Linked DNA regions of Diceros bicornis minor. The main gene of each other region encodes a partner of the protein of the gene in region 3 in a complex. Links are inferred from orthologs where the notes say so. Each region holds a gene or a part of one and is shown on either strand. Other genes may lie near its edges.

Evidence for each region.
Region 1: NME5 (region 3) and LRRC23 share a complex: the UniProt entries of both Homo sapiens proteins name them as parts of the axonemal radial spoke complex. The link is inferred for Diceros bicornis minor from reciprocal best matches to the Homo sapiens genes NME5 and LRRC23.
Region 2: NME5 (region 3) and DYDC1 share a complex: the UniProt entries of both Homo sapiens proteins name them as parts of the axonemal radial spoke complex. The link is inferred for Diceros bicornis minor from reciprocal best matches to the Homo sapiens genes NME5 and DYDC1.
Region 4: the proteins of NME5 (region 3) and DNAJB13 are in contact, whole or in part, in a cryo-EM structure (PDB 8WZB), measured with the Mus musculus proteins. The link is inferred for Diceros bicornis minor from reciprocal best matches to the Homo sapiens genes NME5 and DNAJB13. Residues at the interface, in NP_542368.2 of Mus musculus: Glu52, His53, Asn56, Met193, Lys199, Pro200, Lys201, Leu202, Cys203, His204, Phe205; in NP_705755.2 of Mus musculus: Thr156, Lys157, Lys158, Thr181, Ile182, Asp183, Arg185, Trp188, Arg189, Gly191, Thr192, Arg193, Ile194, Thr195, Phe196, Glu197, Pro281.

What each region holds. Positions count from the first base shown.
Region 1 is NC_080756.1:54,855,708-54,863,475, reverse strand, and holds the start of LRRC23 (leucine-rich repeat-containing protein 23), read left to right. Parts: upstream 1-4,747; 5' UTR 4,748-4,814; coding exon 4,815-4,940; intron 4,941-5,023; coding exon 5,024-5,133; intron 5,134-5,573; coding exon 5,574-5,827; intron 5,828-6,491; coding exon 6,492-6,622; intron 6,623-7,288; coding exon 7,289-7,425; intron 7,426-7,768. UniProt on the Homo sapiens protein: Essential for sperm motility and male fertility. Plays an important role in the proper assembly of the third radial spoke (RS3) head and the bridge structure between RS2 and RS3 in the sperm flagella.
Region 2 is NC_080745.1:5,133,795-5,140,869, reverse strand, and holds the start of DYDC1 (DPY30 domain-containing protein 1), read left to right. Parts: upstream 1-4,061; 5' UTR 4,062-4,193; coding exon 4,194-4,340; intron 4,341-4,787; coding exon 4,788-4,889; intron 4,890-7,075. UniProt on the Homo sapiens protein: Functions as part of axonemal radial spoke complexes that play an important part in the motility of sperm and cilia. Plays a crucial role during acrosome biogenesis.
Region 3 is NC_080740.1:56,757,599-56,764,956, reverse strand, and holds the start of NME5 (nucleoside diphosphate kinase homolog 5), read left to right. Parts: upstream 1-4,345; 5' UTR 4,346-4,767; coding exon 4,768-4,896; intron 4,897-7,358. Other genes in the region: bromodomain-containing protein 8-like, read left to right, coding at 836-925, 1,024-1,092, 2,729-2,906, 3,452-3,502. UniProt on the Homo sapiens protein: Functions as part of axonemal radial spoke complexes that play an important part in the motility of sperm and cilia. Does not seem to have nucleoside diphosphate kinase (NDPK) activity.
Region 4 is NC_080746.1:56,968,488-56,975,912, forward strand, and holds the start of DNAJB13 (dnaJ homolog subfamily B member 13), read right to left. Parts: upstream 3,021-7,425; coding exon 2,953-3,020; intron 1-2,952. UniProt on the Homo sapiens protein: Functions as part of axonemal radial spoke complexes that play an important part in the motility of sperm and cilia.

The DNA.
Region 1 (7,768 bases), on a different chromosome or scaffold from region 3:
AAATTTTTCAAGTGAAAATAGTTTCCTTCTAGGTATTTGCTTATATTTTATTTCAGGTTCCTAGCAAAATGCCTGTTACAGAGTAGGAACTCAATATATATAGTTGAATAAATGAATCAATATATTATTAATACTATAAATATTTTAGAATGAAATCTCCATGTGGCAAAGAATCACATCCTCCTTTGGAATCCATTCATAGCAGCATAGAATTCAGTATTTTGATACTAAGAGTATTATTTTTATATTGATACTCATTGCGTATATAACCAAGAGAAATGAAAATACACGGCCACACAAAAATTTGTACGTGAATGTTCACAGCAGAATTATTCATAATAGCCAAAAATTGAAACAACCCAAATGTGCACCAACTGATGAATGAAGAAATAAAATGAAATGTGGTGTAAACCATACAACAGAATATTATTCAGCAATTAAAAGGTATGAAGTACTGATACGTGCTACAACATGAATGAACCTTGAAAACACAATGCTAAGTGAAAGAAGCCAGTCACAAAAGACCATGTTGTATGATTTCATTTATATAAAATGTACAAAATAGGCAAATCTATAGAGACAGAAAGTAGATTAGTGGTTGCCAAGGGCAGGGGTGGATGGGGGGATTGGGACGGGATGGCTAAGGGGTACAGAGTTTCTTTTTGGGGTAATGAAAATGTTCTAAAATTGATCGTGGTGATGGTTACACAAGTTTGAGTATACTAAAAGCCATTGAATTGTACATTTTAAATGGGTGAATTTTATAGTATGTAAATTATATGTTAACAAAACTGTTTAAAAACAGTTCTGTTAGTAAGAAAGAAGGCAAGAATGAATATCAGCTAGGCAACCGGCAGTTTCTGCACAGTTAATATCCAAATCATAAAGAGCTTCTACAAATCAATAAAAAAAATTAATGACTTAGCAGGAACATGAAAAAAGATATGAAAAAGCATTTCGTAAAATAAATACAAACAAATACAAATACATGGACATATAAAAAGAAACAACCTTACAAACAATCAAAAAATGCAAATTAAAATAATAATGACACACCTATTTTTCAACCTATTAAGATTGGCAAAGTATAAGTACATACCCTTTGAACAAGAAATTGCACCTCCTAAGAATGTATCCCACACAGCCATGTTACTAAAAGTGTGGTCCATGGATCAGAGCACTGGCATCACTTGAGGGGTCAGAATCTACATTTTAATGAGATCCTCAGGCAATTCCTATGCACATTAAAATTTGAGAAGTACTGCTACATGTATAAGTATGCATGCAGCAGAGTCAAGGTTTATCTATGAGGATTTTTATTGCAGCATTGTTTATAATGTTGACAATTTTTTTTAAAAGTTAATATTCATCAATGGGGAACAGTTAAAAAATTACCATGTATCCACATAATGAAAGACTAGACAACTATCGAAAAGAGATAGATCTATGACTAATGATATGAAAGATGTCCAAGACATATTATTAAATGAAAATAATCCAGTTGGTGAACAGTATGTATGATTGATACCATTTTTGTTTTTTAAAAATTTATATATTTATTAATAAATGAGGGGCCGGCCCAGTGGCGCAAGTGGTTAAGTGCACACGCTCTTCTTCGGCAGCCCAGGGTTTGTGGGTTCGGATCCTGGGCGCGCACTGACACACCACTTGTGAAGCCATGCTGTGGTGGCGTCCCATATAAAGTAGAGGAAGATGGGCACGGATGTCAGCCCAGAGCCAATCTTCCTCAGCAAAAAGAGGAGGATTGGCTTGGATGTTAGCTCAGGGCTGATCTTCCTCACAAAAAAAAGAAAAAAATAAATAAATAAATGAGAGTGGTGCTGAGGGAGATCATGGCTTTTATGTTCCTCTATATACATTTCTCTATTATTTGCACTTTTATTTTAATTAAATATTATTTTTATAGTAGAAGGAGATTCTATTTAGACCAGCCACTGGAGGAAGGATGTCATCCAAGAGGAGAACATGAAGTATTTAGCTCTCATTCCATGGTGTCAAGGAAACACAAAATAAAATCTCCGATGGCTCCTCACAGCTTTCAGGATGAAGTCCAGATTCCTTAGTGTAATCCAGGTCTGTCTGCTGTTCCTACCTCATCCCCGAGTGCACCTACTGTTCCAGCCAGCAGAGCCACTTGCCTTCCTTGCACAGGCATTGAGTTCTTTCTGCTCCAGGTCTTGCCAAAGGTGCTTCCTCTGTCTGGAATCTCTGCCCTGAATATATGATATCATGTATACACATGTACTATCAAATTATCCCCTGGCACTTAATTAAAGCTCTATAAGTGTTGGGTATCATTATTATAACCTCTGTCTCATTATATTGAATTACTTGTTTACTTAACCCTGTCACTGGACTGTAAGCCCCCTGAAGACAGGAACCCTGTTTTAATGTCCTTGAGTACAGCCTGACACAGAGTAAGTGCTTAACGAAAGTATGCTAACTGATACATCCCTAATCCTTATGTCACATCTTTTCTTCCCACCTAATGTGTCTTTCTCTTTCTTCTGGGCCAAGGAAAATCACATTCTTTCCCTTGACTACAGCAAACCGGGAGGATTTTTCCTTTCTGTGCACTCCAACAATACAATTACTCTTATTTGCATAGCACTTCTAACCCTTCAAAGTGCTTTCATATATACCCTTTCTTATTCCTCACAACAACCCAGTACTGAGGAAACAGGCAAGGGGTGGGGAGGAGGCAGGGAGATGTCTGCTGAGGGTCAACTGTGTGCAAGGCAATTTACCCACATTGTCTCTTTTAACCTTAACAATCCTTTAAGGTGGACATTTTTATCCCCATTTCACAAATGTGAAAATTAAACCTTGTAAAATGATATAACCTGCTGAGAAACACACAGCTGTTAAATGGTAGAGTGGGTTTGAACCTGGTGTCTCTAACCTGGTGTCTGCTAGTTCCATGACATCAAGTGAACAGATTTGTCTATTAACTATATTAGCCAAGCTGGACAGGGCAGGAGGTAATATTTCCTGATTTCTAGCCCCCGTCTTCCGTCAGACCGCTTTGCATGTTACATAAAGTCTATAAGGCACGCTTTAACAATCACATGATATCTTGCCTTGTTGCCTAATTGTTTTATTTATATTAGATTCTACAAGATTGGTAATATCCTCCTTTCCCCAGGCAGGAATTGTGTCATAAATATTAACCTCCCTGAGCCTTAGTTTCCTCGTCTTTCAAATATCTATCATACAGGACTGGTGTGGAGATTAAATATCACTTGCAAAGGCATCTTACACAATGTCTGGTGCAAACTCTCCAGAAATATTTGTCACATCTCAACCTTTCTCTCTTTCATTGCCTTCAACAAGTCACGCAGGCCTGAGTGCCTGGGTGTGGCTGTATCCATTCTTGTTGATTATTTATATAACAACGTTGGATGAGGACTATTTTGGTGGGCACAGGTTGGATTTTCTCCCTTACTATCCCCCAAAAGGTTTGCATCAAACCATTCCAGGGTGTGAGGAGGAGTGAAATGCGCCCAAACTGGGTTTAGCCGTCTACACGTACTTCAGCATGGATTAGACGCATACTCGATCCCTGTCGGTATAGTTAAGCCTATTTTACAGATGAGAAAAAGGAGGCTTAGGTAAACTGCTAGTAAACTGCAGATCTGCTAAGACTCCAGCCCAGGTCTCAAGATACTCTGGTCATGGGCTCCTTCCACTCCACCAAGCCACCTGCCAAAGGTGGCTGAAAATAACTAACGGGTGGGACCTATGCGGGGGTGGAGTGGGGTGGTGGTGGAACCAGACCACTTACCTTGGTATTTCTTGCTCCTCTTTCCCCCTTTTTGCTTCAGGGGATGAGCTTCTTTTGAATTCACAGTACTTTTGCATTGAGGGTGTCCAGTCCCTTTCAGGTCTCAGGTGACGTAATTGCTAGCCCCGCCTCCTCTCGCTGCACTGTTCTAAGCCCCGCCCATTATTTTATGCCCTGTGCCAATTATTGCGCCTCATCCGGGTTCCTGGGATTGGGAACTCGGGCTCGTAACCAGGCAACTACTGATCCACCGGCTCCGGGGCGGATTTTCAGCTCAGTTCTTCGCGGCTCTTCTCTCAACCGGCGCCGCTGCGGAAGCCAAGTGCCCCGCCCCACCCCTGTTGCCATAACAGCAGTACACAACGCCTCCTTCCCCCTTGCTGCTCTTTCAAAACACTCTTTCCCTCTTGGGGCCAAGACCCTCTCCATAACCGCTTCTAGTTGAGCAGGACCAGGGTCTGCGCCCCTTTGCGAAGGATTGGGTGGGAGGGTTGGAGACTGCGTCAGGCTGGTGTCCCAGAGGAGATGGGAAATGGGGCTAAGCAGGGTGGGCGAGTTAGAGGAAATGAGTGGAGCAGGGGTTAAGGATGCAAGGGGAGGGGAGTGTAGGGATCGGTAGGAGAGATTGAAGGAGAACGTGGTTTAAGGAGGAGGTGGGAAGAACTGAGGAGAGAAGAGTCCAGGAAGCAGGGAGACCACGGAGCTGCTAGAGGCGAGTTGGAGCCACTGTGAAGGGCAGGAAAAGTCTCAGGGGTCTGGGGAGGCATCCTGAAAGGAGAAGGCTCCTTGGTGGGAAGTATGAAGTGGAGGTTGGGAGTCAAAAAGAGATGTTCACAGGGATGAGGAAAGAAGCATAGTCAGGAGGAGGTCAGGGGTGATGGGGTGATGGGAGGGGTACCTGGTCAACCAAGGTGAGGGAGCTGAGGAATGGAAGACGCTGAGGAGACTTTCTTTCTCAGGACGAGGACCTTGCTTGATCTGATTCCAGAGCCTTCAGCAAGGAAGAAAGATGTCAGATGAAGATGATCTGGAAGCCTTTGAGCCAGACGAGGATGATCTGGAAAAGGAAGACGATGAGAAGGAGACAGAGGAGTGGGAGGACTACAGGAAAGAGGGAGAAGACTTCACTGAGGAAGTGAGCGCATAGAAACAGGGGTCCTAGGGCTAAGGGATGGGGTTGGGCTGGAAAGGGATGCCTGACTCCATTTCCTCCTGCAGTGGATGCCCACTCCCCTCACGGAGGACATGATGGAGGAAGGGCTTTCTCTGCTGTGTAAGACAGGCAATGGACTGGCTCATGCTTATGTCAAGCTGGAGCTTAAAGAGAGGTGTGTTTATGGGGGACCAGAAGAGGACTGAGGTTGTAGAGCCCGGTCTCCTTTCTCACTCTCATTTCTGGGTGTTTCAGCTGAGGGTTTGGATCTCGCTCCTCCCGGGCCAGTGGGGACAGAAGGATAGAATTTACTTTTCAGGAGCCCTGTGACTTGCTGTGTCAGAACTGGCCTGGGAATTGGAGGCTGTGAGGGTATGTTGGGGGATTCCTACTGGACTCCCACACTTGTCCTTTGGAGTGTTGGTTCTCAGCCCTTCACAGACACAAGGTCCCTGTCTATTGTTAGGAACCCACCTACCTTCCCCTCCTCACTCCTCCCATCTGTCACCTATTCTTCTCCCTGTTATAAGCCATCTCCTTATTGCCTCTGCTTTAGCATCCCTGCCAGTCCTTGCTGGATTTTTAACCCTAACCCTGGCCTCTGCCATCTCCTAGAGATCTGACAGACATCTACTTGCTGCGTTCCTACATCCATGTGCGCTATGTGGATGTTTCTGAGAACCACCTGACAGACTTGTCCCCACTCAATTACCTCACCCACCTGCTCTGGCTCAAGGCTGATGGCAACCGGCTGCGGAGTGCCCGGCTGAACGAGCTGCCCTACCTGCAGATTGCCAGTTTTGCCTATAACCAGATCACTGACACTGAGGGCATCTCTCATCCTCGTCTCAGCAGCCTGGATCTCAAAGGTGGGCCTTAGGATGGCTACACAAGATTCGTTCCTTCCTAGCCTGGGGCCAACAGAAGTGGGCAGTGTGGTCCTTGGCTTTGCCACATAGCAATCTGCACTCATTCATTCATTCATTCAGAGATTCATTATAATTCATTATGACAGTTCTATGTGCTGGAGATAGAACAGTGAACAAAACAAAGAAAATCCCCATTCTCATGTAGCTTACATTCTAGTCAGGGGAGACAGACAATTATTGATGAACACAATAAATAAGTAAATTATATAGTATGTTAAAAGGAGATATATGCTTTGGAAAAAATAGATCAGGGTAAAGGGAATTGGGGGGCACAGGTGGCAATTTCAAACAGGTTGGTCAGGACAAGCATCATTGAGAAGCTGACATTTGAGCAAAGACTTGACAGAGGAAAGGGAGGTAGCCATGTGGATTACTGGTCACTCTTCACTCACTCCTCAAAGGCTTAGGGGGAGGTGTCCATCAGCCCCTTGGACTACCAGACCACTTGCCCCAGGGCCCCGAAAGTGTTAAGTCTGGAGCTGTCCCTCCTCATATCCACCTGGCATTAGAGGGAGAGGATGATGCAGAGTCTCCCAAAGTTCAGGCTGTACTGCTGAACATTCGGAGTGGCGCTTTGAGCTCTTGACACCCTCCTGCTCCTCAGGAAACCGCATCCACATGGTGACAGGTCTGGACCCTCAAAAGCTGATCAGCCTGCACACACTGGAGCTTCGGGGGAACCAGTTGGACAGCACCCTGGGAATCAACCTTCCTAAGCTGAAGAACCTCTTCCTGGTAGCTCACAGGGTCAGAAGGTGGTTGGTGCAGGAAAGAGGGCACTGTCCTGGGGGCCAGGATGCCTGGCTTCTAGTAGCTCAGCTACTAACCTCATCATCATAGTGATAATTGGTATCATTTGTTGAGCCCTTACCTGGTGCCAGGTGCTGTAGGGATGCAAAGTTAAAACATACAATGTGCTTACCACCTAGCAGGGCTGATAATACATAAGGTGTGGACAATGCGGAAACGGCTTGCTTTGATACAGGTAGCAGCATAATGTGCCATAACTGAGGTACAGACCTCAGGCTGAGGAGGCCACTTAAATGTTTAGTCTTTTAGACTCCTGAGCTTCTTCATTCCTGAATGGTGCTGAAGCCATTTCTCCTCAACAGAGCAGTGGGGGCTCTTGGGCCCGGGGGTAGGTTGAAGCATCTCCTCCATAATCAGATGTGGCTTTGGGGGGATGAGCAGTAGGGGGTTACTGCTGACCACTCTCTGAGCTGGAAGCTTCTCCTGGACTTCTTTACTCTCTACACCAATCTCTACCCACCTTGCTCCCCTCCTGCACCGCTCCCTCCCTAGTTCTTAGATTTCCTCTTTTGCTGCATCTCTTTCTGACTTCTCTTCCTTCCATATCCAGGCCCCCCTTTCCTAATCTATCTCCTGTATCCTGGAGTCTAGGCCCAGAACATGCTGAAGAAGGTGGAAGGCTTGGAGAACCTTACCAATCTCACTACCTTGCATCTTCGAGACAACCAGATTGAAACTCTGAGTGGCTTCTCCAAGGAAATGAAATCACTGCAGTACCTCAACCTGAGGTATGCACCCCCTCCAGGCCCCACCTTGCCCCTACCCTGACCAGGAGAAGCTTTTGACCCTGTGTTCCTCCCTGCCCCCAATCCCTCAGTCCACGCCCACTCCTAGATCCTCATCCTCCATCCTGATCCTCCCTCTTCCTTTCTTTTACATTCAGTTCTAATTGCAACACTAAGACCTTTACACCTGCGACTCCTGAATCCTTATTCATTCACTCCACAGTTATGGAGGATGTGCTATGTATCAGGCCTGGTGCTGTGTTTTGGGAACATTTAAAGGAATCAGAGATGGTCCCAGTTCTCAAGGGACTCACAGTCTGGCTCCAACTCTCTGTTCTTGGCCCTA
Region 2 (7,075 bases), on a different chromosome or scaffold from region 3:
AAGGAAGCCGCTCCACTCCCAGTCCTTGGGCGGCTGCCACACTGTGTAGGTGTCACAAACCCTTCCTGGAAAAAGCATCTGCTCTAAATTGCATATTTCCAACAATGGCCTCCATGAAATATGCTGACCTAACAATTACTTAGAGGATGCAAAGACAGTAGAGCCAGAATAACAGAGCCACAACCTGAGGCCTGGAGAGGGAGGGGGCAAAGGGATGCCTTTTACAGCCACTCCCCACAAACTCAGGGCACATTCACAAGGGGAAGGGGCTATTTTTTGGAGTTTCCCAGACCTCCTCTGAAGGTCTGCTTACACTGGTCCTCCTTGTTCACAGGCTCGCACTCAGTAAGTAGGGCAATAAGCACGGTGATTGTCTTTGTCCACACCATATTCCAAGTGCCAGGCAGACCTAGGTGATCCATAAATATTCCTGATGTAATCAGAGGAGACTCTGCCGCTCGTGAGCAGAGGCAAGAGCTCCTGCTCCTTTCCGCCTGTCTGTGCCCACTCTGGCACTCACCACCTCAACCAATGTCTAGCTAGGCTTCTCCTGCCCCGCAATGCCCGGCACATAAATTAAAACAGAACATGGGAGAGCCCCCCCCCCCCCCCCCCCCCCCCCCCCCCCCCCCCGTGGCTTAGCGGTTAAGCGCGCTAGCTCGGCTGCTGGCGGTCTGGGGTTCAGATCCCAGGTGTACAACAACACACCACTTCTCTGGCCATGCTGAGGCCACGTCCCACATACAGCAACTAGAAGGATGTGCAGCTATGACATACAACTATCTGGGGGGGGGCGGGGGGCCCACCTGAGTTGGTTCTAAAAGGAACCAAGCAGAGGTCGCCAGCAAGTGCAAAGGTGCTGAGTAGTGAAAATACCGGGCCATCGGGCACTCGGGGCAGTCTCCTCCGCCCCTGGCTGTGAGGGTGTCCCGCCCTTCACCGACTGTAGCTCTTTGACGTTGCTCCCAAGAGCCAGCTGCCCCTTTATCCTTCCCAGTGCGCACTGGCCTAACCATCCCATCAATTCCTCTTTTCCGTTGCCCCCTCCTCACAGCCTCTAGGCTGCATGTCTCTGCTCACCCACCCTCTTGCTCCCTCCTCTCTGTCGCGACCCCTCCTCGCTGAGGCGCGTTCTCCCCTCGGCCCCCTCCGCTCATCCACCCACGTGCCCCCTCCTCTCTGGGGGCACGTTCTCTCCTCGGCTCCCTCCTCGGCGCCCTCCGCTCACCCGCCCGCGCGCCCTCTCCTCTCTGGGGGCATCTCTGGCACCCGAGGTGCGCGTGCTCGTTGCCTAGCGACGGGACGCGGCTCGCGGGAGGAGGGCGCGTGCGCGCGTCGGGCGTGGCCTCCTGAACGCAGGCGCGGGTTGGGAAGAAGGGTTCCTAGCGCTCGGCCGGGCTCTGGCGGCGCAGGCCGGTTTGGCCGTTGGACCTGGTGAGTGGTGTGGCGCTCGGGCGACGTTCCGGAGCCGGCCGCGGTCAGTTCAGCGCCGGAGGCTCCGCGGGCGCGTCGGCGGTTCCTCTTCCTCCTCCTCGGGGGCGAGCGGCGCAGCGCCTGCTGGAGGGCCGGACCTCCTTCCGCGGACCCGAGATGGGAAAAGGAAGCTGAGCGTCCCGAATCGAGGGTTGCCGGATAAAATACGGGACGCCCAGTTAAATTTGAGTTTCAGATAAGTAAGGAATAACTTTGTAGTACAAGTATAGTATAATATAGATCATTCGTTATTTATCTGAAATTCAAGTTTAACTGGGCGTCGTGTATTTTTATTTGCTAAATCTGGCAACCCTACCCAGATCCTCTCCTTTCCCACTCGGCTGGCCAGCTTTCTCCCAAGAATGGGCCAGGGACGTCTCTTTCTTGTGACAGCTTCTCCAGGCTTGTTTCTGTGAGAAGAGGCTTACTGATGTTGAGCCAAGATGCCTGTTGGTGTGTATGACGGATAACATTCCTTACAACAATCTTGTGAGATGGGTATTATTACCATTTCATGGACAGGAAACATGCCAGGTGAGATAAGGAGCCTCCCCGGGATCCCGCTGATAATGGGATGCAGCGTCTGAGACGGACCCTGGATGGGGCCCTACTCCTGGGCCAGAGGTTCCCCTTTCCTCTGTATTATCCCCTTGCTATGTGTTATCTTTCTGGAGCAGCAGGAGGCTATTCATTTTTTACGTTACTCCGCTTCTAATGACACTGAGATGTCAGTGTAGTTATTTTTGTCTTTAGAGCATATCCCAGTGAAGAAGTACAGTGAAGATAACTGTGTTGCAAACTCAGTTGTAATAATTCTTTTCTCTATGTCATTGAGACACCAATGCTAGCTTGATAGGGAATTAGGTTCATTTGTGCCAGCGTTCAGCTTTGAGAGTTTTTATGACTACATTTATGTGTACACACGTAGACATTGCTTTCCCCGCTGCTGTTGCTATCACGGAAGATGGCATCCTATGTACAGTTTCTGCACCTTGCTTTTTCCACTTCACACTATATCCTAGAGATCACCCCCTGTGTTAGAGATTCTCCTCATTCTCATTATTATATATCCGTGCAATAATCCATTGTGTTGCTGTATTTCATCAGTCCCCTAATGATGAACATTGGGATGGGGTTCCATTTTAGTTTTTCTAAACAATGGTGCAAAATAACCATTTGCATATATCACTTCATATTTTTTCAAGATAGGAGCCCAGAAATGAGATTGATGGGTCAAAGGGTAAATCATATGTAATTTTCTAGATATTGTCAAATTTCCCTCCAAAGGAGTTATGTCATGTTGTACTCTCACCACCATTGTATGAGAGAGAGCAGTATTGGGGTCTATGGATGAACCTCAGGAGGTCATTGTTTCTGAACTTTTATGCAGAATGTTAGGTGCATTTGTCCAGGGACAGGTCTGGACACACTGGCATTGTATCCCCAATAATTGCTCATGCCTGACATACAGTAGGTACTCATTATATATTTGTTAATGATTGTATTTCATCGGAGTCTGGATTCCATAAGGGTAATTTGAGGGTGATCAGTTTTTTAAACCTGAGATATAGTGGTTGCTACATTTCTTTTTTAAAAAAGTCTGGTCTAAGATTATTCTTGTCCATCTTCATAACTGAATAGACTGGGACATTACTGGGAGAGTGGAGGAACTCTCTCACTTGCCACCATAAAGAGCCAGCTGTGTCAGCCTTGTGATTAAAACCCTCCTTGAGGGGCTAGAGGAGCTTGTCTTCTAGTGGGAGGACAGACGTGCGTACAGACGGTGCTCAGGTAGTGTGACAAGGGCTGTGTGAGCTGCTTGGGGAAGGAGGAACTTTTTTATGTTGCCTGAGAAAGCTCAGGGAATGAGAGATGATCTACATCTTGCAGGTGAGGAGATATTTGCCAACTTGAGAGATTGTGAGGGATCATCATGTGCAAAAGTCGTGGAGATGCAAATGTGCGAGGTGTGGTCAGCAGAATGGCAGAATTTTCAGGATTTTCCGTGTAATTAGAGCCCAGGATATGCTGGGGGCTGAAGAGATGCCTGGAGCTGAGCCTGGACAGAAAACTGGAGCCAGAGTGTGAGGGGCTTTAGGTGCTGTTCTTGGAAGGTTGAATTTTTTTTGTTCTTTGGCCTTGCAGATTCAAGGACTTTTTTTTTTTTTTTTTGAGGTGGACTATTGTGACATTTTCTAAAAATGACTCTCCTGACTTGGGTGGAGCATCTTAGTACAGTCATTAAGTTCATGACTCTGGAATCAGGAGTTGCATGTGAATCCTGCCTCCACCGTGTGCCACCTGTGTGATCGTGGACTGTTCACCTGTGCTCTTTGTGCTGGGCTTCCTCACCTGCACAGAGGGATGATGACACCCATATTTCAGGTGTGTTGTGAGGCATTGTTGAGACAGGCATTGCTTGGCATATGGTCATCTTGCAATCAATAATGACAGTATTCTTTTTTTGACTCCTGGACTTGAGGGCCCATCAGGATTTGGAAACTGTTTTAGTTGTAGTGACTTCTGTGGAGCCTTTTTGGAAACCGTTAGAAGTTTCCTGGGGCCGTCGTGCTTGTACCATCCCTGATTGGAGGTGCCCCTGACTGGTGACAGGATGTAATGCTTTGTTGGCCTCACCGGACTCTACTTTTATTGTGCCTTAATTGAAAATGTTCTGCATTAATTCACAAACATTTATCTTTAAAAGTTAGGAGTTAGAAATGGAGTCGATATATCTTCAGAAGTACGTGGGGACGTGTCTAACTCAAGGTCTTGCAGAAGTGGCAAGAATTCGCCCTGTGGATCCAATAGAATATTTAGCATTGTGGATTTGCAAGTATAAGGAAAACGTGGCCATGGAGCAACTGGTAAGTATAGATCTTCTTTTAGAAAATTAGAAGAGTAAAATAATTGGTTCGGTTTGTCTGCTTTTTAAAAAAGGTCAATATTGTTATTTCTTTCTGTTATAAAAATACTATGTTTATTATACAAAAACTTGGACAAGATGAAAAAGTAGAAGAAGGAAACAATACCGAAAGAAGACCTCTATTTAGATTTTTAGGTATTTTCTTCTACTCTATTTTCTACACATCTGTCTATAGATATTTTTACATAGTTGTGATCATATTCAATGTATAATTTTAATTTTGTGCTCTTTATTTGAATAAAACATGCATTTCCCCAAATTATTATACAATTTCCAAATGGATAGACTATAATTTACTTATCCCTTTCCCTATTGTTGATAATTAAAATGCTTTCAAAATTATTTTGTCTCGAATTAGTCACGTGATATTGTTTCTAAACAATGCTAGAGACAAAAGGAAATGGCCGACTTGGAGCGTGAAAGAGAACTAGCTCTGAGGGAGCAGGAAATGATGGAGAGGCTCAGAGCAGAGGAGCTCATGTTTCAGCAGGTGAGACAAGTAACAGAGTTCAGAGGTGACTGGAATTAACAGTGTCAACCTCTGTTTGGTGTAACCCAAGTGCTGAAAAACTCCCCATCTCTGGTTATTTAGTGTATGGCTTTCTTATATCTTCATCTCTATGTATGTCTTCTTTGCTGGAAAAGCAGCAGCAGTGAGGTAGGAGGAAACCAAGGAGTGTGCCCTCGTGGAAGCCAAGGGGAGAGAGCGTCTCAGTGAGACCTTGGTGGTGAACCATGTCTATTGCTGGTTGAGTGAGAGCAGGACTGCACAGTACCCATTCAAGGCCACTGGTGACCTTGGCCAGTGTGGGTGGGGGGCGTACAGCAGGGGAGATGGTGAGTATAGATAATGCTTTCAAGGAGATTTTTAGGGAAGAAGTTTTTTTTTTTTTTTTTTTTTTTTAGGAACAGAGTGGAAGTGGAGAGGGAGTTGATGTTAAGAAATAGAGGGGATGATTTCTAGAGTCAGCTGTCCATGGAGGCAAAGCTACATTGAGTCTGGAACATAGGTTAGGCAGGTAGAAGGGAATTTCTTGATTCAAGGAAAGAGGAGAGGATGGTGTAGGTACATGTGGGTTATAGGTTTTGTGGCACAAAGTTGAAAGCAGTTTTCTGTGTGACTGTTCTTTATGAAGTAAGGACCATGATCACCTTCCAAGAATGAGGTGGTAGTGTAGGAGGTGTGGGGAGAGTGGTGAAGGTATGAAGTGGTAGCTTTGGAGCATGACAGAGAGAGTTGGCCAGGGAACCTTAGCATTACTTGGTAGCAATGAGTACCCTGATATGGTTGGAGACCAAGCATTTAAAATGTTGCCATTTGGTTTGGCTTTGTGATGATGTGATTTTTCTCCACTTAGGCCTAGATATCTGCGTGAAGATGTGGAAGAGGCAGACCCTTGACTGAAGTAGGTTTAGGGTAGCAGGACTGGGGAGCTGAATGTGTTGGTAAGAGTGGTTGAAGGGCTAGGTCATGGAGTATAAACTAGATAGAGGAAAGTTCCAGAGTGGCTTCTGCACTAATCTAATTTATGGAGAGCTTCTGAACTAAATGTAAGTCACCCCTCTAGTTCTACCATGTACTTAACTCTAGAGTCTCGACTCAAGTCTACATAGTTAAAAAGGGAAAGAAGCCTATTAGGCACCTTAGGTGGATGTGGCTGTTGAAAACTTGACTGCTTCTGAGTCTTCATTGTTCAGTCATTTGGCTTCTTCTTGTGGGAAGTTGCAAAGTGTGGAGTTGGATGTCAGTCATCTAAGTGGGCAAGTGTGTGCTGCAGTGGTCCCAACTTTGAGTGAGGAGCTGCCCTTCCTCTTGCAGCTCCTGTAGCTGGTGTGTGTCCCCCGTCTATCAGTTCTCCTTCCCCAAGACAATTACATCACAAAGGTGGAGATACTTAACTTTCTTTCACCCTTCTACTTTAACTTACTTAGATAAAATTTGACAGTACTGGAAATCACACATTTCTCTAACTGTATCATGTTGACCATATGAAGCAATCCACTGTGCATCGAACCCTAAGCATTGTATTGGGAGTGGAAGATACAATAATATTCTGCAAAAGATTTGGCCAGTAAAGAAGTGGATTGGTGGGCAGAAATAGATGAGAGAAGGAGAAGGGACATGTGGAGAGATGGACCAAGAGAGAAGAGCTTAGGAGAGAGCAAGGCTGAGATGAAGAGGAGCAGAGAGGCCTCTCCACGCCCCTGGGGTCAAGTGGGCTGGAGGTTCAGGACTCTGGCCGCCTCCCTGTTGGTTGCAAGAGCAGGTGTCCTTGTAGTCAGTACTGCTGACTTGAAGTTCCTTGACATTTTAGGCACTCTTTAGCAAGCCCTGGTCCTTGTGAACAGGCAAGTATTTTTATTGCTGTTTTCTACTTAAGAGCTTATTTATTTTTTTTTTTTGTGAGGAAGAGCGGCCCTGAGCTAACATCTGCCAATCCTCCTCTTTTTGCTGAGGAAGACCGGCTCTGGGCCAACATCCATGCCCATCCTCTTCCACTTTACATGGGACGCTGCCACAGCATGGCTTGACAAGCAGTGCGCTGGTGCGCGCCCGGGATCCAAACCAGCGACCCCTGGGCCGCCGAAGCGGAGTGCGCGCACCTAACCGCTTGTGCCACTGGGCAGGCCCCTGTGCTTATTTTTGAAGTAAAAGCTTTTTTGTTTTGTATTTGT
Region 3 (7,358 bases):
CATGAAAATGAATAGTTATGTGGAGTTGCTCAAATTGGATAAAAATAAAATGAGATGTGAGTTGTGCTCAAATGAACACACACAATATGGTACATAAAGCGGAATGAGGGTGTGAAACGTTAGGTGTGAAGAGAACTCATTTAGAGAGCATAATGCAGTGTATAAAGTGGGAATATATAGTGTGTAAAGTATATAAACATGATGTTTAACTTTGGAGTAAACAGAAAACTTGCCAACTGGGAAAATTATAAAATGAAATAAAACATTGCATCTCCAAAGAAAAACTAAATAAATTAGCCCAGAGAAGGAAGGTCCCTGAGGAGAAATGATTTTTCTTAGGTATTTTAAAGATTACTATATAGGGGAGAGTGAAAAGGAAAAATATTTAAATCATGTAGCATTCAGATGAAACATAAGAGAATTCTTTGGAATGTGAAATCAAGTATTTCCTTCTCTGGAAATATGGGAGAAATACTTATTAATGTGGCATATTTCTGCATAAAAACAGGATCAGATTCATTTATCAGATACTTAATTGAGCACCTACTATGTGCCAAGCACTTGTGAAACATCAGTGAACAAAGATCACTTTCATGGACCAGTTCTTTAGAGTCACAGGTGCTGAAGAGCAAATCAGCAAGAGTCCAAGAGGCACAGGCATTTGTAGGTTTGTAGTATACTTTATGATGTAACCACTTCATTGGGTAGTAGTGACCAATAAGAATATTTATAGAATTAACTAGGAGTACTAGGTGTTAACTTCATTACCCACTGGGGGAGACAGAATACCATATGTGAAGTTACTGTTTCTTTTCTGTCCTGTTTCATCCCATAGGTCTGATCTAGGCCAGAGTGACCCTGTTCAGGATCACTTGCTATTTAAGAAGACTCTCCTGCCAGTCTGGAAGATGATTGCCAGCCACAGGTAGGTCTCCAAGCCATTTGTGGCATTCACAGCCACTCTTCTCATTTAGAGTGACTTTCCAGAGTTTCTTCATCCTCTTGATGTTTGTCCTTTAACAGGTTCAGCAGTCCTTTTCTGAAGCCTGTATCAGAAAGGCAGGCCCCAGGATACAAGGATGTGGTGAAAAGGTCAGTGGAAAAGTGGTCAAGAAAGGTTGGTTGTGGGCTGCCCCCATGGCTTAGCGGTTAAGTGCTCGCGCTCCGCTACTGGCGGCCCGGCTTTGGATCCCGGGCATGCACGGACGCACTGCTTGTCCGGCCATGCTGAGGCCGTGTCCCACATACAGCAACTAGAAGGATGTGCAACTATGACATACAACTATCTACTGGGGCTTTGGGGAGAAAAAGGGGGAAAAAAAATAGGAGGAGAATTGGCAATAGATGTTAGCTGAGGGCCGATCTTCCTCAGCAAAAAGAGGATTGGCATGGATGTTAGCTCAGGGCTGATCTTCTTCACAAAAAAAAAAGAAAGAAAGGTTGGTTGCTTTTATATCTGTCTTTTCATACTGTATTTCCCATCTATTAGATTATTTCCTTATTTCATTTACATTACTTACAAACTCAAGATATATTTTCCAGCCGAACAAGTTTGTAAAGTTATGGTGAGCTCAGTCTTCATTTGAGAAAGAATGCAGGGAACAAAAGGATAATATAGGCTTTTTTTTTTTCAGTGTTGACTTTTAAGTAAAATGATCCATTCATTATAATCTTACATTAACCTTTGGTAGTTTTTGACACTGTTCTTTTGGAACAAAACTTTAAAAGGAACACTGTATTTATTCAGGCAGTTATAGGTATGCTAAGGCAAAGATGGTAATCCAAATGGATGTTACAAACATTGGTTGATTGCAGTATTTTGGATTTTTATGGCGTAGTTCATCTAAAATGCTTCCGTAAACCAGTGTGTTATTAGACTATAAAAGATCAGGAAAGGACCTTTGGAGACAGACTCCTTTATTCTCTAGATGAGGAAACTAAGGCTCAGAGGTGGTCATGACTTGCCTGTGATCAATAGTGAATAGCAGAGCTTGAACTAAACCCCGGATTCTTACCTCCCAGTTTCCCAGAAAAGCCCTCTTTCTACACTGCTGTGCTTTCTCTTATATACCCACTTTCTGTATCTCATTAAATAATTATGTATCTTAATATTCACTTGATTCTCACTCTTTTCATCTCCATGAAAGAGGAAACAATTCTTAGCTTTTGATTATGAATTAAGAAAAGTAGATTAAATACCTAGTATATGACTATGCATTATAAACAATCAGTCAGTAACGACCATGTGACACAGTGATCATTGGAGGTCTTTACAACTTTGGTACCTTGGGCCAGCACTCCTCCTACAATAGTAGAGTGTAGTGGCTGGGCCTCTGGGCTCTGGAGTCAGGCTGCCTCTGAATTGAAACCCAGGCTGTGTGACTTTGGGCAAGTACTTAACCTCTTTAGATCTCAGTTTCCTCATTGCCAGTTGGAGATGATAATGGTATCTACCTTATAGGTTTATTGAGAGGATCGAGTGAATTCAATTAGAAAAGTACCTAGCATCACGCTTGGCCTCTTATACACAGTCAAATGTTAGCTGCTGTTGCTATTTTATTATCTTATGGGGATTCTTATCTTTATACTGTTTTCATTAAGAGCTGGTTAGTTCTCTCTTTATACTGTTTTCATTAAGAGCTGGCTAGTTCTCCAAGAGAATATGTTAGGTCACCACATGTTCCACATGAAGGTTTGATTTCCTCTGGTTTCTCTTCGCCACCTGTAGACCCATGGACTTAACCAGCCTGAAGAGGAATCTGTCTAAGGGACGGATTCGCACCATGGCTCAGTTTCAGAGGGACCTGATGCTGATGTTCCAAAATGCTGTGATGTACAATGACTCTGATCATCATGTGTACCATATGGCTGTGGAGATGCAGCGAGAAGTTTTGGAGCAGATTCAGGTACTGTATGTAGAGAGCTGCAAGAAAAAGGAGAGTAGCCTCTGGAATCTGATTTTAGGAGGTCTGTGAGAATAAGAGTGATGTTGAAGTGGCCTTGTGTTCCCAGAGTTTATGTTTAGAGGTGATTCAAGGCCCTGAAGGATTGACCTTGTACTTGCTGGAAAACCCTGAGCCTCTGCAGGACCAGCTTTAATCAATAGTGAAGTAAAGTAGTCTAGGAAAGCAGGCAGCAGTGAAGAGCTCTCAAGAGAGCTAGGGATAGATAAGTAACGGGAGCTCCTGCTTCCAGAGCTTCAAGTCGGAGGGCTAAACATGCAAACTAGAGGCTGGAGTCACTGTCTGTTTTTTGGTTGCTATACCTGTTGATATTAATGTATGTTCATACTGTCTCATCTATAGGGGATAAGACATGGTAGCCAGAAGAAGGCATTTGAGGGTTTCTTTTCTGGGCAGCATCATACTTGAAAGAAACATAGTCAAATCTCTTTGCAGAAAAATAAAATTGCATAAAGATTCATAGCTTGCTGTCTGCCTTGACCCTGTAGGTGCTGAGTATTTGGTTAGACAAAAGAAGAGACTTAAATAGTCTGGAATGAGAACCAGCCAACTCCATGGATGATGAAAAACCTGTTTTATTAACCTGGAGCTGCTACCCTGAGCTTTTCTGGAATTCGGACCTCTCATTGAGACTCTGACCCACAGAGGCTCCCAGTACTTGTTTACCACTTTTCAGTTGTCTTTTCTAATAAGAATAATGCCTTAACTCACAATCATGGAGTCAAAGGTGCCTGTGTTCATAATATATAGAAAATGGGGAAAGCTGAGATTTGGGGTTGTGCCATAAATGTTGCCCACATCTTTGTTCCATAGGTTTAATTTAGAGGTAACTAGATTAAACCTCTTATTACTGTTCTATAAATAAATGTTATTTCACAAGTCAAAGATTGCTTCTTAATGATTACAGAAGATCGGAATAGAGGGGACAGTATCATCTGGTGAAATGAGTAAGGTATTTGACCTGGGTTTTCTTCCATACACTGTCTGGAAGGGGATGGGGTAGGATGAGGGGATAGTGTCTGTAAGTTGCCTCACCATTTGTAAAATGCAGATAATTGAAGTGTCCTTCAAATGTCTAGGAGGATGAAATAAGATAAATTATGAGAAAAATGTTAGAAAATGTCTAGTGCTCTAAGATTTGCACGGGGGATAAAAACGCCTGTGGCTGGCTCCCTGTCTTGGTTGTAAGGAACCGGCCAGAGCCTGTGAAACACTCTGCTGGGATTGGCCCTGTGCAGCCACCGTACCTAAGCAGGGCTTCGGGTCTCCTAGCAACCAGTTGTGGTGGCACCGGAGGAGCAAGTGGTAAGGTGAGTCCCCAGACAAGGGTCGGACTTGGAATCTGCGGGTGCAGCCCAGAGACGCCCAGGGGACGTAGAGATTCTGCTTTCCAAGCAGCCCTGACCCTACTGCTGGGCGGGCGGGGCTGTGTCCGGCTGGGTTGGGCGGAGTAGGACAGGCTGCCGCTCACCTGCTGCTGGAATGCAGGAGGAGTTGCCGACTTAGTCTGTTGTTGCTGCCCTGAGAGTCTACGCTAGTCCCAGGCCCTCGGATTGTCCCTTGACCTCTCCACCTCGAAAGCGCTTAGGAAAACCCAAGGCACGACTTGGACGCGAAGTAGAAATCGTATTCCTGAGACACCGTTTATAGAAAAAGATACGCAATTTCTAACTTTATAAATTAATAAAAGCAAGCACCTAATGCTGTTCTTAATCACAATTACATTAAATTTGGGGTGGGGAATGCATGTCATTGCAGTTGACACCTGTCAAGAATCTCTTAAATTGTATCCTGAAAAGCCAGGATGGAGATATCAATGCCCCCACCGCAGATATATGTAGAAAAAACTCTGGCCATTATCAAACCAGATATTATTGACAAAGAGGAGGAGATACAAGATATTATTCTCAGATCTGGATTCACCATTGTTCAGGTAACTTCTGGGCACATGATCATGTTTTTTCCTCTCTTTGCTCCTTTTTTTTATGTTTATGTAAATATGTTAACCCATTTAGATCCTCAGTATTTAGCATTAAACTTAGGTTTATTCTTCTAGGTATGAAAGTTATATGTGATAATTTAAAAAAAATTTTTCACACTTCAAAAGGATATAAAATGAGAAGTAAAATTCCTTTTCCTTTCACCTATTCTCTCCCACACCAGGTCCCAGTCTCCAGAGAGACAACCACTTAACACTTTCTGTTCTTCCAGGATTTTTCTATGCATTTACAAACATTTTTTCTCCCGTTAAATAGGACAGTCCTTCTCCCTTAATCCCATTTACAAAGTCCCTCAGACAGCATTCCAGATCATTACATCTGAATCTGTCTCATTCTTCCTAACTTCTGTGTAATATTCCCCTTTGTGGATGAACCACATTTTATTTACTTAGTCCTCTATAGGTGCACTTTTAGACTGTTGGTATTTTTTTCAGTTATTACAAACATTTAATGTTTTAAGCCTTGTTCTGTGGTTGGTAGAGATTTGAAAATGAATCTAAAAAGTGTTGTTAAAGATTATCAAATAGAATAGAATTTTTTTTTTTAAAGATTTTATTTATTTATTTATTTTCCCCCCAAAGCCCCAGTAGATAGTTGTATGTCAGCTGCATATCCTTCTAGTTGCTGTATGTGGGACACGGCCTCAGTGTGGCCGGAGAAGCGGTGCGTCGGTGCGCGCCCGGGATCCGAACCCGGGCCGCCAGCAGTGGAGCGCGCACCCAACCGCTAAGCCACCGGGCCGGCCCAGAATTGAATAGTTTTAATCTTCCTTTTTTGTACTATCCTTTTTTGAAATTATAGTTTTTTATTCTCTTATATTTGTACAGTGTCTTATTGCCTATTTAGTCAGTGTTTTAAAAAATAAGAGAACACTTCAATTTTCAGGAAAGATGGAATTTCGGTTGAACTTAGAAGGGTAGGTGGAGGCTGAGGGTAGGGATGGTACAAGAAAGAGTAAGAAAATAGTACAGGAAAGTATAAGGAAATGTTTAATTAAAAGACTCGGGTAAAGATGAACTTTTTAATAAATGTTGTTAGAAAAACTGGGTACCCATTTAAAAAATAGTTGGATTCAAGTATTATACTATATACACAGGATAAACTCCAAATGGATCTGAGATTTATGTATTAAAAAATTAAACCATATAAATTCTAGAAGAAAAGGTGGATGAATTTCTTTTTATTCTTGGAGTGGGACAGCCTTTTTAACTATGACTTAAAGTCTAGGAGCCATAAAAGAAAAGATTGATAAGACTGTAAACATGAAAAACTTCTGCATGGCTAAATAAACATCATAGCAAAGTCAAAACACAAATGACAAACTTGGAAAAAAGATTTCCAACTCGTATCACAGAGAAAGGACTAATCTCCCTAACATTTAAAGAGCTCCTAGAGAAAGGTAAAAATTCAGTTGAAAATGGGCAGAACATGTGGATGGTCACAGAAAAAAAATGAATGCTTCTTTAATATATGAAAAGATGCTCAATCTCGAAGCAGGAAAAAAGCAAATTAAAATGACACTGAGATACCATCTGGCAAAAATATAAAAGTAAATGGCACAACTCCTATGGAAGGGAATCTGGTAATTATCTATCAATATTACAGATGCATTTACCCTTTGACGCGTCGGTCCTACTTCTAGGAATTCCTGCTATAACCCATGTATTAATATGAAATGACATATATACAAGTTGTGTTTTGCAGCATTGTTTACTTAGCACCAAAAGATTGAATTAGATTATTTAGCACCAGCATTAGAAGATTGGTTAAATAAACCCTGATGAATCCACCAAATTGAATACTATACAACTAATGGTAAAAGGAAGAATAAGGAAGTTCTCTGTGTCCTGTTATGGGAAAAAAGCAAGATGCAAAACAATGTGTAGCAATTGTGATATCTCTTTTGTGATAGAGAAAAAGTAATATATATTTATGTTTGCCAATATTTGCAAAATGAAACACTAGGAGATAAATATTAAAAAATGGTTGCCTATTGAGGACAAGAAAGAACAGGGTGGCTTAGCACAGGGATGGGAATGAGATTTTTCAGTATATACCTTTTTGTATTGCTTTGAATTTTTTAACCTTGTAAGTATATTACCCATTAATTTTAGGAAAAAAAATGAAATATACAAATAAGATAAAGATATCCCATTAAATTTTTTAAAAGTCCATATTTTAAAAGAATTAGTGGGGCCGGCCCCGTGGCTTAGTGGTTAAGTGCGCGCGCTCCGCTGCTGGCGGCCCGGGTTCGGGTCCCGGGCGCACACCGACGCACCGCTTCTCCGGCCATGCTGAGGCCGCGTCCCACATACAGCAACTAGAAGGGTGTGCAACTATGACATACAACTATCTGCTGGGGCTTTGGAGAAAAAAAAGGAGGAGGATTAGCAAT
Region 4 (7,425 bases), on a different chromosome or scaffold from region 3:
GGACAAACTCATCTAGCCCACAGCTTTGAGTATGACCTACTTGCTGATTACTCCCAAATCTCTATCTCAAACCAGGCCACTTCGCTGAACTCCGGACTTCTGTATCCAGCTGCCTACTTGGTATCTCCTCCTCAATGGCCCACACGCCCTACAAACTCAGTGAGCCCAAACATGAACACGTTTTCATTCCCTCATTTGCCCCCATTTGTCCAGACACTGCAGCAGCACAGCTGAGCATTATCTTGGCCTCCACGTTGCCCTTTGTCCCCTCCACCCCCGTCCCATCAGTCACCAAAGCGGAACTAATGCTCTGCTCCTGCCCCTTCCTCCCTACAACAGAACCAGGTCCTCCTGTTGCAGTTTCCCCCTCTCCAGTCTATTCTGTGTGCTGCCGCTGGTTTGATCTCTCTCCCTTTTGTTAACTTGATGCTTCTAAGATGCTCCCTAACCAAGTCCCCCTCCTGCCTAAATCCTTCACTGGTTCCCCCTTTGTCTTCAGCATAAAATCCAAATGTCTCTAAGAAAGATTCAAGCCCCTGCTTCTCTCTCTGGCCTTCTCCCTCACAGCTCTCCCTCCCTGCTCCCATGACCTCTCCTGTCCTTCTCTCCATGCTCCAAACTCCCCACACTGCATTGCTCAGACTTTGACGTTCTGCTCTGTAAGGCTCACCCTGCTCCAGCCCCTCCCATCTCCTCCTGGCAAATTTTTATTCATCCTTCAACAATCAGCTCAAGGGTCAGCTCCTCCAGGATGCCTTCCCTGACTGCAGCCTCCGTTCCAGGTTAGAGTCCTCTTCCCACATCCCCAGTGCCTTCGATCCCGGCACTTAGCACCAGGTGCTCCAGTGGTTTGTTGACTGGTCTGTCTCTCCCACTAGCCTGTGAGTCCCTTGAGTTGCTGTGTCTAGTTCTCTGTGCCCCCGGTGCCTAGCACAGAGCAGCAGTGAGTGAATGAATGACATGAACTCACTGTCCCACAAGGCAGCCCATCTCACTGTGGGGCAGCCCTTTTAGGCAATACTTCCTCTTACTGAGCTGGGTCTGCTGTCCTGCGAGTCTGCCTCCATCCATGAGGGTCCTGGCTGGGCCCTTGGAGCCCTTACAGAGAGAATCTGCTCTGTCCACCCTCCGAGATTTGAAGACAATTGTTACGACTTCCCTGAGACCTCTAAACCAGCCCTTCTCAATTACAAAGGTCGCGGTCAGTAATGATACTGATAGAATGCAAGTAAATTCTATCAGTGAGTAAAAGTAACGAGGTTTGAGAAGAGTTCAGTTTTTCATATAAACTGGAGTGGTTTCAAGATTATCCCCACAGAAACATCACTCTCATTCACCTGCCTTCCTGAGTGGGAGAGAGGGGGTGGGGTCACAGCTGGGATGTGGCGGCCTCGAATGAATGAGTGACACAGAGAAGGTTAATCGCTGGGCGATTATGAATCATTGTGGTGCTCCTCTTCATTATAAGTTTAGCTTTTTGGGGGAGGGGGTCAAAAAAAATCTAGGTACCCCCTGGGAGGGTGTGTTATTTATACATGTGACTCACCCCTTAAGAGTTGTTGCAGGGAAGAAGGATTAAGGACTGTTGTTTGAAACATATGCAGTTCTTTTAATCAGTCTTTATATGACATCGTTTCAGATGCCAATGATTGCTGGGCAATTTCATGTTTATTATCTCATATAATCCCATTTCAATACCACAACAACTCACTATTTTTTTTTTCAGAGATGGGAAAACTGAGGCGCAGAGAGGTTAAGTAATTTGCCCAGGTCACACAGCTAGCAGGTAGAACTTGGATCCAGACATGAGTCCTTTCAATGTTTAAGTTGGGCTTATCTTTCTGCATTCCAACTGCCCTCCCTCCTCATGACCTTTCCCTAGACAGGTCCCACTGGCCAATAGATGCTTGAACAGTGGGTGACATCACACACTGTCCTGAATTGTTCTCTACTTGTTTCATGAGTTTGTGTCTTGTTTCTCCGACCACACTGCAGACTCTCTCTACTCACCCCACTCAGATCTCCTACAGGACCTGGCCCATGGGGGGCAATTATAGTAGACATGGTGTCTGATTACCGGCTCTGCTGTTTACTAGGCTCATGGCTTTGGGATAATCATGGCACCTACCACTCAGGGTTGTTGAGAGGATTAAATGAAGTAACGACGGGAGGTTCTCAGAACATCATCTGCACAATTCAATAAATTATCACCACCCAACCTTAAGTGATAGCCAAGTCCATTCTCTCTCCTCTCTCCAGCCCACTGCCCTGCTTGAGGCTTGAGAAGACCTCTAAAGGGGTCTCTCTCCTTCCTATATAAGCTTCAATGGCACCCTGTACTTCCCCTTTTGTAACACTCGTCACACTTTTTGTAACTTATCTAACATCTGTATTCACCAACAAAATTAAGTTGCATGTCTGTCTGATTCACAATTATATCTCCAGCTGCTACCCATTGCACCTAGTCTATATGGTAGGTGCTCAATAAATATTTATCAAAAAGGCTTTTTTTCAGAAAAATGTGCTGACTCCTGTCCTAGACTTTCTTAGAAATGGACCACCAAGTCCCCAAGATTTGATGGAAGTATTCAGAGATGCAGTTTATTTAACACTAAAACTCCACGTGACGACCAGAATCAAATTTGTAACACATCCATCCGGCCAAGTCACTCTCTTGTTCACAATCCTTTGGTTCTCCACGATATCCAAGACGAGGTTCAAATGTCTCCTTTGTCCCTATTTTATTGCTTGGAAAACCAGGACACCCAGGCATAAAGGGTAAAGGATGATGGATTGGGAACTCAGACCCCACCCGAAGCCAGGATATAGGTGTGCAAGAAGCAAGAGAAGGAACCGTGCTACGCTGTGCAGGAAAGCTCAGCTTGGAAGAGAGGGGGGTGGGGCCTGCCCCAGCACACCCATAAAGCCTCGCTCTCCGACCCCCCAACTTACGCCTTCTTGATCTGGGCATCCTCTGAATTTCTAGAGATCTGGAGCACAGAGTAATAATCCCGGCCCATGGCTGGCAGGCAGGCAGGCAGGCAGTGGCTAGTCCTGACTCCAGCAGGGCTGTTAGTCTGCATTCCTTGGTTGCTCCTGACAACCGTACAGGGGCACTCTGGGAGTTGTAGTCCTTCCTGCCTAAGCAAACTGCCTTCTCAGCTCAGCCTCATAAAAGAGCAAACAAAAAGATTGGGAGAACCAGGGCTGATTCTGTGAGCCTGATAAATGTCACTGACTCAGAAACCAGAGAGTGTTCAGGGAGAGTAGCAATTACTTTTAATTAAAAGTTTTCAGAACAAATGCATTTGGCTGTTTTTTTTAAATAAATTTTTATTTTAGAACAGCTTTAGATTTTCAGAAAAGTTGTAAAGATACACAAAGTTCCCACACACGCCAGACCCAGTTTCCCCTATTATTAACATCTTACATGAGTATCGTACATTTGTCACAATTACCAGTATTGAGACATCATTTATAGTGGAAGTCCAATACTTTATCCAGATTTCCTAGTTTTTAACCTAATGTCTTTTTTCTGTTCCAGGATCCCATCCAGGACACCACATTATATTTAGCTGTCATGTCTCCTTAGGCTCCTCTTGGCTACAACTGTTTCTCAAATTTTCCTTGTTTTTGATGACATCAATGATTTAAGGAGTACCGATCAGGCATCTAGTAGAATGTCTCTCAGCTGGGATGTGTTCGATGTTTTTCTTATGTTTAGACTGGGGTTGTGGAGTTTGGGAAGGAAGACCACAGAGGTGAAGTGCCGTGCTCGTTCTGTCAGATCAAAGGTACATACTATCAACATGACTCATCACTGCTGATGTTGACCTTGATCGCCTGCTGCAGTAGTGTTTCTCCACTGTCGGGTTACTTTCGTTTCCCCCTTTCTGGATTGTCCTCTTTGGAAGGAAGTCATTTTGCAGCCCACCCTTAAAGAGTGGGGAGTTCTTCTCCATCTCCTTGGGGGCAGCAGCGCCCTGTTATCCACTCATCCCACATCCAGTCAGTCACCAAACTCAGTCCATTTTACCTCCTAGATGCCTCTCAAGCCCCTCCTCTGCCATGGCCTTGCTTTGGCTTTCATCTTTCAGCAAGGCCACTACAACATCCTCACTGTCCCGCCTGCCTCCTCTCTACCCTGCCAAGACCATACACCACACTGCCCAGAGTTAAGGCACTACAGCACTTACAACGCCCAGACTAACCATTATCTGTCTCACATTCACCTGTGCTGCCACCTCTGCTCAGACTCTCCCCAGCATACCCACCACCAACCCTGGCTTCAACCAAGCTAACTCCTACTTGTTTTTTTTTTTTTCTTATAAAGTAGCTTATATGTACAAAAGAGCAGCATTAGAACATTGCTTATTGAAGGAATGTTGCCTCTGTGTGCCCCTCCCCACCTGTTTATTTTTCTCTTGCTTTTCTTTATTGTTTTACTACTGTGCATGTATCCGGTGGTGTACTAGTAAATATTTAACAAGTAGGTCACCAGAAGGAAAAAATAGCCCTGATTTGTAGCATTTGCCAATTTCTCCCATGCTGGTACAAGCCAGCTCCAGCACACCACTGCATGTATCCCTAACAACACATTTACTTTTCAATGTTTTTATTTATTTATTTATCTATTTATTTTCCCTTTTTCTCCCCAAAGCCCCAGTAGACAGTTGTATGTCATAGTTGCACATCCTTCTAGTTGCTGTATGTGGGACGCCACCTCAGCATGGCCGGAGAAGCGGAGCGGCGGTGCTCCCTGGGATCTGAACCCCAGGCCGCCAGTAGCAGAGCGTGCGTACTTAACTGCTAAGCCACGGGGCCGGCCCCCTGCTTTTCAATGTTTTTTAACTTTATATAAATGGTGTCATTTATGCAAATGACATGTCTGTGTGTGTGTGTCTTATTTTCACGGAGGCTGTATAGCACTCTCTGTTGATGCTGGATATTTGGGTATGTGTGTCAACTTTGCGAGGTAATGTCAGTTTCCTGATGCGGTTATTCTAATTTACACGGGCAGAACAGCAGTGTGTCTGAGTTCCTTTTTGCTCCACATCCTCACTAGTTCTTGATGTCCCCTGATGGTGTTTCAGATACCAGTGACTGAGATATGTAAGAACTTTCCTGGGTCCTCTGAAACCACAGTTACAGAGAGGTCCTGCCTTAAAGTAGCTCTTTCATAGTATTTGAGGCAAAAGGTCTACTTTAGGTATATTTGGAGGAGGTAAAACACACTTTAGGAGTTGGGCCAAAAGACAGAGAAATCAATGAAAGAGCTAGGAAGTAAAGTGCAGGTTTTGGGTGAGTTGAGTGGTCAGAAAGTGACCCTGTCTTGATCCTGCTGTGCTCACATGCCATCTGTGTGACCTGAGGCAAGTTTACTTAATGGCCCCAAGTCTAAGTTTCCTTGAGTAAATGGGATTATCAACATGAACTCCACCACAGGGTTGGTGTGAAAATATTAAATGCAATTATATAAAAGCACATATCACATACAAGATGCTCCCCCAGCACTGAGGCAGTAGAGTCAGAGATCAAGTTGCAAATCCTGTCCATTAGCTACTAGTTTTATGACCTTAAACAACTATTTCTTAGCCACAGTTGCCTGGTTGTAAAATGAAAATGTGGAATTACTCTTTTTATTTTTTGCATTTCTGAACTTTCTTGTGGATTTTATTTAACTACTGAAATTGAACATCTTTTCATGTGTACTGGCCATTTGTTTTACTCTTATTACCAGAAAAAAAAGTTACTAAAAATTAAACCCATAGGGTTGGGGGAAGGCCATGCTCAGCCTGGGACTGACTGAGGTGAATGGAGGGGCAGAGGGAGACTCTGAGGGCACCATGTGGGCAGGGGCTGAGGTGAAAGGGGAGGAGACGGCCTGTGTGGTTGGCAGATTGGTTAATCACAGAGGTATTGAGCAAATAAGTGAAAGTATACTGAGAATTAGGAGAGCCAAGTTTCTCACTGTTGGAGAAAGGAGGTATGTATGTAGAAGGCTATAATAAACCCTGTCGAGTTGGATTGGAATTGCAGACATTGGTGTGAACTCAAGATTTTTAATATACATAGAATGATGGATGTAGAAATACAGATGTACGTGTGTACCGTCCACTGATAGGGCCTAGAAGCAATAATACCCCAGCAGTAAAAAGCTTACTAGTAGTACCCAGATCTTGGTTTCTGAATACCATTCTCCACTAAAAGGAACCAGGGCTATTTGGACAAATGACTGTTTCCAGGGCCGGGGTGGGAAAGTATAAGATGAGCTTGAATATCTTGTTGTACCAGAAAATACGGAAGTGCTCAAAGAATGATGGAAACATGTCAAAAGGGCATAGGATCTAGCTTGAAGGAGCTCCTACTGGCCCAACTGGGACAATTTAAACATCAAAACAAATAGTAGTAATAATGGATTATGATCCATAGAATAAAATATGAATTCATGAGTAGTTCATACTAATATATCTATGATAAATGAAGGAATGAATGAATACATACATGGAGAAGAGAAAGTTCCACCACATAGTAGAATGCCAATTATAAATGTAAAAAGGATGGAATTAGAAAATCACCATTTGGCAATTATCATAGGAATAACTGATTCAGAGATAAATCATCCAAGAATGCTAAAACTAGTTGGTGGAAGTTCTATGAGGAATAGTATATTTTATACAGTTTCAAAGTAGCTCCCCACAAAAAACTTAACTTTGCTGTGGAGAAATCTGGTAGACATCATTTTATCAATTTAACATCACCTGACTATAACAAAAAAGATAGACAAAAACAAGTGTTGGCAAGGACATGAAGAAATCAGAACCCTTATACACTGCTGCTGAGAATGTAAAGTGGTGCAGCCACTTTGGAAAACAGTTGGCAGTCTCTCAAAACATTAAGCATAGAGTAACCATCTGACCAAGCAGTCCCACTGTTAAGACATATAGAACTGCAGACCTATGTTCACACAAAAACTTGTACATGAATGTTCGTAGCAGCATTATTCATAATAGCTAAAAAGTGGAAACAATCCAGATGTCCACCAACCGATGAATGGATTAAAAAACTGTGGCAGATCCATACAATGGTGCTATTGCTCAGGTTTCTCCAGAGAAACAGAGTCAACAGGATGTGTGTGTATATATAAAGAGAGAGATTTATTTTAAGGAATTGGCTCATGCAATTATGGAGGCTTGAAGTGTCCAAAATCTGCAGAGTAGGCCTGTAGGCTGGAGACCCAGGGAAGAGTTGCAGTTCAAGTCCAAAGGCCGTCCTCTGACAGAATTCCTTCTTGCTTGGAGGAGGTCAGTCGTCTTCTATTAGCACCTTCAACTGACTGAATGAGGCCCACTCACGTCATGGAGGGTAATCTGCTCTACTCCAAGTCCACTGATTTAAATGTTAATCTCATCCAAAAAACACCTT